2 separate regions of the Mus musculus genome follow, and region 1 is reported to be linked to region 2. Evidence: microRNA targets listed by miRTarBase, many of them from high-throughput screens and not tested one by one. Region 2 holds a microRNA gene; the other region holds the end of a gene's coding sequence.

Region 1 (5,384 bases), not on the chromosome of region 2:
AGAACCTTTCACTGGTACTAACTTAGCTCCCAGCCTTTGGCTGCACCGCTTTGAAGTCATTGATGACCTCAACCATTGGGATCATGCCACCAAACTGAGGTTCCTGAAAGAGTCGCTCAAGGGAGATGCCCTGGATGTCTACAATGGACTCAGTTCCCAGGCCCAGGGCGATTTCAGTTTTGTGAAGCAAGCCCTCCTGAGGGCCTTTGGGGCCCCTGGGGAGGCCTTCAGTGAGCCCGAAGAGATTTTGTTTGCCAACAGCATGGGTAAGGGCTACTACCTTAAAGGGAAGGTTGGCCATGTGCCTGTGAGATTCCTGGTGGACTCTGGGGCTCAGGTGTCTGTGGTTCACCCCGCCTTATGGGAGGAGGTCACTGATGGTGACCTGGATACTCTTCGTCCTTTTAACAATGTGGTCAAAGTGGCCAATGGGGCAGAGATGAAGATCTTGGGTGTGTGGGACACAGAAATTAGCCTGGGCAAGACAAAGCTGAAGGCCGAGTTTCTGGTGGCCAACGCCAGCGCAGAAGAGGCTATTATTGGCACAGACGTCTTGCAGGACCACAATGCCGTGCTGGACTTCGAACACCGCACCTGCACCCTGAAGGGGAAGAAGTTCCGCCTGCTCCCTGTCGGGAGCTCCTTGGAGGATGAGTTTGACCTGGAGCTTATTGAGGAAGAGGAGGGGTCTTCTGCACCGGAGGGCTCCCACTAAGAAACCCCATTTCTTGTTCCCAGCATTGGTAGGGGGACTTTGTGTTGGGGGGAGCAGATGTCCTGGGGGGTATCATCCGGCCTAGCCAGTCTTTACACCGGTTCTCAGTTTCCCTCCTTCTACAGGGGCCTTGCTTTGCCTTTGTTTGGGGAGGGAGGCCAGCTTGGTGGCCTAAAGCAGTGTCCCCAAGGTCTGCAAAGACTTCCAAGGCTGGCAGGAGCTTCTGAGGAAGCCAGGAATGTCAATCTTGAGAGAGGACCCTTTTAGATCCCCTGAAGTATGGCTCAGTCACTTTCACGTCCCCAAGCCTGCTGAGCTGAGCCTGGTCTTGGCTAAGACCCTCACAATCCAGATGCTTGGAGGAGACTGGCAGCTGCTCTGGGAGTCCTCCCTGAGTCCTCCCACCTGCACAAGGATGCTCCCTCCTGTCCTGTCACTTGCCTTGAATCTCATGGAGCCTGTATCAATAATTCAATTATTTCAAAACACCAATAAAGATCTGTTCATGGAAAAAAAATGTCATGTGCTCGATAGTTGTGACAGAGTTGGGAGGGAGAGGAAAACACAATCCTCGAATGCTTGGCCTGGGGAGGCAAAAGAAAGCAAGCAGTTCAGTGGGGTCTTGGGTTTTCTAAGGTGGACTGCAGATATCTGAACTTCTAACCCTCTCATCCTTCTAACGCCTTCCGATTCTGCTGTTTCAATCTACAATATTAGCATTCGAATTGTCCCTTATGCTCAAATGTGACCAAGGCTATCTTGTGAGGTCTTTGGCTTGGCGATCAAGACATTTCTGCCAAACAAATAGGTTCTTACTGGTGCCCAGGGAGCCTGGCTTAGAGGTAGAAATAGGGCCAGGAGACAGGCATGGGCGTGTGACGGGACCCTGGGAAGGTCTGGGACTCTGGCAGCTGGGGGCAGCTTGGCTATGGGGTAGCTCATTTGGGGGAGGGGATGGGAGGGAGGTGAGGGCATTCCTAAACCTGGGGTGGGTTTCATCTCTTGTTCAGCTTGGGTTTTCTGCCAACTCCCAGCCTCCTCTGAGACTCTGAAAACTCACCAGGCGTTGGGGAGTGGATTGGGTGCTCCAGAGAGGAGCAGATGTGTCCTGAATTGTGGAGCCCACGCCTTGAAAGCTGAGCCCAGGAAGCTGGCACAAGGCCAGAAGTTCAGTTGTGCAAAGGGTCTGTAGCCAGTCCCCTGCTGGGACTTGGGGGCAGAGTTTTGGGGATCCTCTGTTTTCCTTGGTGATATTGGGAATTGAACCTAGGGCCTCACACGATGCTAGGCAACTGTTTCACTACTGAGCTATACCTCCCACTACCTTCTAAAACACCTATTATATTCCAATGTAGTGGTTCGTTAAATGGCCTAGGCTGGCCTTGAGGTCATTCTGTAGCTCCAATGGGCATTAGACTTGTCATCTTGCCTGAGTTTCCTGAGCACCTGGGTTAACAGGCCTGTAGCACACACCTGGCTGCTGTTTTCCTGCCAGGCCCCTTTTTTCCAGGCTCAAAGGAGTGGCTGGCTGCTGGCTCCACCACCTGTGGCCCTCTGAGCAGGAGGCAGGAAGCCTCTTCCTGAGAGCTAGATGTCTTCTGAGCCAATCACAACAGCAATGCCATTCTCCTTGGCCTCTCTTCCCTGGTACAAGGCTGACTCAGGATCTAATTCCTAGGGTTCACTAAAGCCTGCCTCTGGGCAGCCAAGCCCAGAATGAACTGGAATTAGCCCCAGAGCATGGGTGTACAGGTGTGGACAGGAAGCCTGGACCACAGAGGGTGGTCGCATTGAGGACCTAGGCCCCGCCCCCTCATCTCTCTGGAGATCTAAGGAACGTTGGTGTTGTCCTGGGCCTAGCCTTTGTCTCTAGGGCACAAACCCAGTGGCACCTCCCATGACCTAGTTTTCTCTAGGTCCTTCAGATCCTACTTGCTTCTTTCTAGGCCAAAGGAAGGTGGGTGAAGAGTGGGTGGAGGTGAGAAGGGGACCTAGGAATTGGGTAGCTGGGCCAGAATTCTGGGACATTAACTCAAAGTGTCCCTGCCCTTCTCTTACCCAGAAAGGGGCTGAGCTCTGTGCTGGGTAAATTCTTGTGGGCGTCCCTGCAACTTGTGATGATACTATACCTTGGCCTTGAGTAAGAAGGGCCTGGGCTGGCAACTCTCAATGAGGAGACCTCCCCCTCATGCCCCTGAACTCCCCGTGCCCACCCACACCCAGGAAGGGCCTTCAGAACAGCCACCATCAAGAAAGGAATCACGTGGTGCAGGAGGCCTACCTGGACTAAAGCAGATGTTTCATAGGCGTGAGACTGATTAAATGTGGTTGATGGCGGAGGCTGTGGCTGTGGCTGTGGCTGTGGCTGTGGCCGTGGCTCTGCTGTAGAACCTTGCCTAGCATGCAGAAGGAGGCCCTGGGTCCAATCCTCAGTATTCCGTAAGCTGAGTGTGGCGATACCCACCTCTAACCACAGCACACAGAAATCAGAACCAGGAGAATCAGTGGTTCGGGGCCAGCCTTGCTACAAAACCCGGAGTTCAATCTAGGCTGCCTGAGACAGGGAGGTCCTCAGACTACAAGAAGACCAACTTGCTTTCATGGACCAAATTCCAGGGCTGCTCTCCAGGGATCGGGACCCAGGTGCCCAGAGCAGAAGCAAGAAGAAAAGCCAGTGGGTTTGGCCACAATCCTGGGAGATGCATTTACAATTCATTTACAGGTTGTCCAATCCTGGACACGGCTGGCTTCCCAGTGGAGGATGGAGTGTGGAATGAAGAGGAAGGCTGAGATCTGGAGACATTGGGAGGTGCTGGGGTGAGGAGAAGCTTGAATCTTGGTGGTACACCAGACTCGCACGGGGAGACTGGCAAGAACTCACCTGCTCTTTCAGTGTGCAGCTGCCTGGACCAAATTACACTGGTGCTTTGTCTTGTGTGTGTGTAAGTCACAGCAGATACGCACATCAGGCCTGCCTGGCATCTTGACTAACATAGACTCTCTGGCTCCACCCAGACCTAGGCTAGAGCACAAAACTTCAGTGCCCCAGCCTGGGCCACCCTTCATTAAGGAGCCATTGCCTTACCTGTTGAAGATTCCTCTGATCACAGCTCCACCTGCCAGTCACACCCCCACACACACACACACACACAAGTAGGCTAGATCGTGACGAGTGCTTTATTCGGTATATGTTTAATGTTTTGTAGAACTTTTGGAATAATCTCAGGGTTACAGAAAAGTTGCAAGAAAACAAGTTCACATCGTTACTCGTGTTAACTTTATTATTAACTTTAGAATTAACTTTATTAGTCTCCCCCACACAGAGGAGCCATTGGAAGACTGCAGCTCAGAAATACTGTTAGCTGCTTATTTAAAAAAGACTTTCTCCATATAAGCATAACAGTTACCAAAAATCAGTAAATCATATATGTGTGTGTTTGTGTGTGTGATGCACATGCACGTGGTGGCCAGAGATCGATGCTGGTTGTCTCTCTCCACGTTATTGTAAAACTTTTACTACTACATTTTATTTTTATGTGAAGGTATTATAGAGCTAATTCTCTACTTCCGCCACGTGGGATCTGGGAAGTGAACTTCGGTTGTCAGACTTGGTGGCAGCACCTTTACCTGCTCAGCCATCTCATCTATTCCACATTATTTTTTTGACACAGTCTCTCACTGAACCCAGAGTCCATTGGCTAGACTGGCTGCCCAGAAAGAAGATCGTGAACTTCCGGTCCTCCTCGCCGCCATACACCCAATGTATGATTTATGCTGTTCTGAGGATCAAACTGAAAGCATTTGCATCTAGCTAGGCGTTCCACAACCTTAGCCTTTAGGTCACCTTTCATTTTTGTGAATGGCAATTCCTGAAGAGAGGCTCCGTCTTCAAAGGCCAGATGACTGCTTAAGACTTCAGTGACTCGGGGAGGTCGGAATGTTGTAGGAGCAGAGCCTAATTAAGATTTATCTTGGGCTATGTTTTGCCTACTAAATAGCCATTTCATCTCTCCCTCTGTCAGACCTAAATCCTCTGGGACTAACAGATAAAAAAGCTTACCTTAACCCTAGTTTCCTGCCCATCAAAGGGCTAAGAGTTTCACCAGACAGCATCGAGGCTTGTAGCTGAGATCTCTCTGCTCTGCCAGCAGCGCCCACTTCATGTTTCCACCAGTGTATGTGAAGGGTCTTGATCTATGATTTTCTTTGCTCTGTTACTATGAAATCTTCATGAAACTGCTTCCACACTGAAACATGGAATTTGTGCCCCACTCATATTTAGCTCCAGAATAAACTCTCTCTCCATCCTCTTTGAGGTAATAACAATATTTTTGCCTTGAGGATAACTTGTCACTTGCTTAGGCTACCCCCATTTTCATGACTTTGAAATGTCTAATACCCTGGCTGGCTATTTCGAAGCATGGCCTTCACCTTGGCTAAGTCTGCTGTTTTCTCATCATTATGAATTTGGTGGGAACACCCAGGAGAGATGGTGTGCCTTAGGCATCATGCAGGGATGTAGGCGCTCCTAGAGCCTGGGATACTGGCTTGTTTGCTTGCTCAGGGTACTGTCAGCTAAGTTTCTCCACCCTTGGGTGACTACTTTTCCCTGTAATGAGTCAGTACCCTATAAAGACCACCTGAGGCTCCGTAAATGTTTCTCGGTAGA
Region 2 (5,384 bases):
TATTCTATTTGGTCTATGATAAAACCTGAACATCATGATGGAAATGGCTGAAATAATGTCTCTATATTGAAGCTGTGGTGTGCAGTGCTCTTCTTGGACTGGCACTGGTGAGTTAAACTAAATACAACCAGTACCTTTCTGAGAAGAGTAAAGCTCATCACATTCTTTTGATGAGGCTCCTGAATCAAGATAGTGGATTATCCATAAGGACCTTGGAGGACACTTTCTAATGTTAGGTAGATTTGAATATCTTCAAATATAGGTTTCAATATGAATAGTTACGGAAACTAACATATTACGGAACCAGAGCAAAAAGAATATTAAGTTCCTTTCTATAGAAGAAAAATGTAAAACAAAGAAAATTGGTTGTTTTTCATAGAACCAACAGGAAGAAATATAACATAAAGGATATTTCCATGGTATTTTTAAATAAATAAGTTAACATTCAAAAATAAAGCTTTGTTTGAAGAATGATGAAATCAGATGGAGCAGATAAACTATACCAGTTCTCTATTGTATGTGTTGTTTGAAGGTGGTTATATTTGTCTTGATGGTATAAAATACATAAAAGTGGAACCTGTTGAATAGAAGGTGGCTTAGTTACTTTTCTATCGCTGAGACAATGCTCCATGCCAAAGGATCCAACTTAATAAAAAACCAAAACAGAACAGAACAAAGCAAACCAACAAAAAACACATTCTTATGGGTGGTGAAAAGTTTGAAGAGGTGAGCACTCAAGACTGTTATGGCAGGGAACAGGATGGTAAACAAGTGGAATGGCAATAGAGTAGTTGCTGAGCATTTACATCCTGATCTTCAGCCACAGAGCTAATTGAGAATTGCATGGCTTTTATTAAAACCTCAAAGTCCACCCCCAGTGACATAACTTCTCCAATAAGGTCTCGCCTATTTTTTCCCAAATAGTTCTTAGCACTGCTCTCATTGTGTTCCCATAACTTTGGGTCTTTATTTTTTTTCCTTGTCTGAGGAGTCATTTAGTAGGAAGTTGTTCAGTTTTCCTGGGTTTGTATGCTTTTTGTTGTTTCCGTCATTAAAGTCCAGATTTAATCCATGGTGATCTGAAATAATACAGTAATCTCAATTTTGTTGTATCTTTTGAAACTTGGTTTTTGTCTAAGGATATGGCCAATTTTCAAAAGGTTCCATGAGGTGCTGAAAAGACAATATATTCTTTTCATTAGAGTAATTTTTAAAATTAATTTATTTATTATAAATACTGTTTTAATTTAATTTTATCATCAAATAGTTTGCTTTCTCCATTCGTAGTGATTCAAAAATTTTGTTGGGCTGGCATCTGTGGTCTCTTAGAAGCTGTAAGACATCTTCTCAGGCCCTGTGGCTGTTATTGTTTCTGTTGAAAAGGCAGGTATAATATTGATAAATTATTCTTCAGATTATACCTGGCCTTTTTGTGGTTGCAGTTTTTTCTTTATTTTGTACATTTAGTGTATTATCTGTTCTAACCTATTTTGTGGGATGAACCAGAATTCAGGAGCAGTTTTGGCAAGTGGAGTTGGGGAAATCAACTCTAGAGATCATCACTGAGTACAGATCTAATGTATTGTGCATTTGCAAGTGTTTTTATACAGCTTTTGGACCAATGGGGTATTGATACAAGCTCTGGAGTAGCCAACTATCCCACTGTTGGGAGGTGCCAGGCTATTAGCATATGAAGGGACCTCCATAAAAAATGGAAAGTAGCTATGGCCCTGTTCGGCCCATTGTGAGGTTTCCCTACTTTCAGTATCCAAATAAACAAAATCAGAATTAAAAAGGGAGACATTAACAAATAAAATTGAATAAATTCAAAGAATCATTAGCTCTTACTTTAAAAGCCTGTTCTACATAAATTTGGAAAATCTTTAACAGATTGTAAGACATTTTAGAAAGATACCTATTTCCAAAGTTCAATCAAGATCAAGTAAACTATTGAAACATCCCTATAACACTTAAGGAAAGGGAAACAGTTATCAAAAGAAAAAAGCCCAGGTGGTTTTAGTGCAGAATTCTACCAGGCTTTTAAAGAAAGAGCTAATGCCAGTACTGCTCAGACTATTGCACAAAATAGAAGCAGAAGGAATACTGCTAACTAAGAAAAAGAATTTCAGGCCGATTTATCTTGTCATATTAATGCAAATATATTCAATAAAATACTAAAAAAAATGCACCAGAGAACTAGGATAGGGCAGGTTCCTAAGAGTCAGTGGGGGTGATCTTAGCTGTGACTCACAGCATTGGGAATATGGAACCTGAAGATGGAACCTGAAGAGGCCATCTGCTGTAGCCAGGCAGGGACACCAATCTACACACAAAACTTTCATTTCAAATGTTATCCTGTCTGCAAGAAATGCAGGGACAGGGATGGAGCAGAGCCTAAGGAAATGGCCAACCAATAACTGGCCAACTAGAGACCTATCCCATGGTTAAGTACCAATCCCTGACACTCTTCATGATACTCTGTTATCTTGCAGACAGAAGTCTAGCATGGCTGTCTTCTGAGAGGCTCTACCCAGCAGTTGACTCAGACAGTCACAGCCAAACAGTAGATGGAACTTGTGGGCTCTTAATGGAAGAACAGAAGTAAAGATCTTGGGACCTGAAGGAGGATAGGAACTCCACAGGAAGACCAAGAGAATTCACTAACCTGGACCCTTGGGGCACTTAGAGACTGAGCTACCAACCAAGGAGCATACACAGGCTGAACCTAGGCCTCTCCGTACATATGAAGCAGATGGGCAGCTTGATCTTCATGTGGGTCCTAACAGCTGGAACTATTGCTAATGCTGTTGCCTGTCTACGAAATCCATTCCCCTAATCGGTTGCCTTCTGTCCTTCATCAAAGAGAGTGTGTCTAGCCTGGCAGAAACTTGGTATACTAGGGTGGGATTTTACCCAACCACCTACCCCCCCCCCCCGCCATCAGGGAAGAAAGGGAGGAAGGATTGGGGTGGCAGTGTTAGGAATGGAAAGTGAATAAATAAAAATAGACATTTGGGGTTTTTTTTTGTTTTTTGTTTGTTTGTTTTATTTTTTATTAGATATTTTCTTTATATACATTTCAAATGCTATCCCGAAAGTTCCCTATACCCTCCCTCCTCCCTGCTCCCCTACCCATCCACTCCTGGTTCTTGGCCCTGGCATTCCCCTGTATTGGGGCATATAAAGTACTACAATGAGATAATACTGTCCTAAAATAATGTGCTATATTAAATCAATAGAAAAAGGAAAAAATAGGCAGACAGAGAGATAAAATATACTTATGATGGCTTTTCTGCTCACAGGAAATATCACAAATCACCTCATTTACTTATTTGGACTATTGAGTATTATATTTAAAGTTTTTTTCAGAGGAAGTAATTTGGTTAAAAGTTCTGATAATTTGTTAAAGACATTCTAATACAATTAGTGGAAAACTAAAAAAGGCTTATTTTCATGACTCAACTCTTGACAGGAAGATAGGATCCATGAGAATCTTTTTTTCTGAAAATTCCAGGTGAAACTGGGTTTGTTGTCTGTGGCTCATAAATAGCTCTAGTAAGATTAAGGCTGGGGCATTGACAAATCTATGTTGTGTGAGTTGTGTGCAGTGCTCTATTCAGATTAGTGCCAGTCATGTGAAATACATATGACTGGCACCATTCTGGATAATGTAATGCTCACTATATTCTTCAAGTGATTTGACCCTGGATGTTCATGGTAGTATATACTTCGAAGAATGTTACATGCCTTCCATAATTTCAGCTTGTCATTTGATTCCTGTAGCATCTATAATTATAGAAAATATTTTCTTTTCTAGAAATCACAACTCAGGAGCACTTACAGTTCATAGAAGATAAAATTGGAGGATACTAAGTACCTTTATACTACAGGTAAAAACATGAAATGAATACAATTTTATATACTTAATTTTGACAATTAGACAAACAAACAAGAGTCCAGAGCATCCAGAGAGAAAAATATAATGTAAAGGAATATATATTTGTTTCCTTGAATGAAGTGTGGTGGTGGAGGTGTGTGATTCTTCTCTAAACACAGTAAGTATGAGGAAGTCTAATTTTTATCACAGCAGATCAGTCATGATTGTGATACATGTTTTGGTCCATTAGAAAATATGTTGATACAAGTTTTTCTTGTTCACTACCTGCCTATTAGGAATTTTCAGAGTGAATTTGGTACATCAATGAATAATTTTTAATGTTATTACCAGTAAGTTAGATTAAAAAATTAAAAAGAGTAGATTCGAAAATGAGGAAGTATAATTAAAATGGTAATAAAGAAAACCGCACATCTTCATTCCAAGTTGACACAGTCATTCACATAGAATGGAACTTAAGGGATCCGTTAAATAGAAGTCAATGGTGAGAGAGAATATCTTGTTATCTCTGAAATTATGAATAAGTCATAAGTTGGTATAGGTTTATGTTTTTTTAGTGCTGTGATGAAAGATGAACAGAAAGGTAGAAATTCCTGGTGTACCAGATCCACATTGTCTTTTGTGTATTTCTTTTCCCACAGTGGGGCTATTCAAATGAACTGCAAGTATACAGTAGCTCTCTGGGTAGAGGAAGGCTTATCTTTACCTCTTTTTAATGGCTTTTGGATGATAATGTAGGTGTAGATGAAATCACCCATGTTGTGTCTTCCTGGATATTTATAATTAGCTTTAGACCCTGTAGATCATTTGCTTATTTTCAAAATGTTTTAATTATCCATTCTTAGCCTCATAATAGTAATTCATAGGCTATATAAAATGAGTTAGTCAGGCCCGACTAAATTATTCATCCTCAGTATATTTTCAATTATATGCCTATAATAATGTTTGTACATTTTCAAGCAAAATGATAAAGAATATTAAAATAGTTTGTATATAAAGAAGAAATAGCAAATAAAAGTTCATATCTTTTTACTGTCATTCATCTAAGGAAATGGCAATTGATATAATCTAATATAATTTAAAGATAAGGTAACTAATAAGTGGGCAATTCTCCTGATGCTTTCAATAGATTACAAGAAGAATCCAATGTGCATTATTACTGGGTGTCATGGAGAAGTCTAGGAAATGACCTACTCATTAAATATGCCCTGGACAGTCGCAAATTGGTGCTGGTAGGATTAAATGAATGTAGCCAGGTACTCTCTGGGTAGAGTCAAGCTTGTATGATTCTCATAAGATCAGGGTTCTGGAAGGGATAGTGTAAGTGGTCTTGAAGCATTTTCCTTAACCTTAGGTTTTCTGATGATACTTGCAAAACCCAGACTTTTTAAATAGGATTTATTTCCTCATGAGCCTTTACAGATCGACATAAAGGAGATTATATTTTTCCTTGTAGTGAAAACAATATCAGGTAAATGTGTTGTAATTA

What was found. The annotated mature microRNA mmu-miR-871-3p reads UGACUGGCACCAUUCUGGAUAAU and lies in region 2 at 3,648-3,670, shown strand. An mRNA with a match to its seed (bases 2 to 7 or 8) in the 3' UTR can be bound and repressed. Matches are read on the target gene's strand: a 7mer-m8 pairs with bases 2 to 8, a 7mer-A1 pairs with bases 2 to 7 and ends in A, and an 8mer does both.
Region 1: miRTarBase lists Asprv1 as a target of mmu-miR-871-3p. Seed matches in the 3' UTR shown: 7mer-m8 at 800-806.

Annotation. Positions count from the first base shown.
Region 1 is chr6:86,628,479-86,633,862 of GRCm38, forward strand. Asprv1 (aspartic peptidase, retroviral-like 1) reads left to right here. Exons shown (of 1, transcript NM_026414.2): 1 at 1-1,232. The coding sequence ends at 715. Among named protein-coding and RNA genes, the nearest start is that of Asprv1, 3.0 kb to the left of the region's middle.
Region 2 is chrX:66,808,724-66,814,107 of GRCm38, reverse strand. Mir871 (microRNA 871) reads left to right here and starts at 3,604; the gene lies at 3,604-3,680. It overlaps Mir470 (microRNA 470), which reads left to right and starts at 83; the gene lies at 83-157.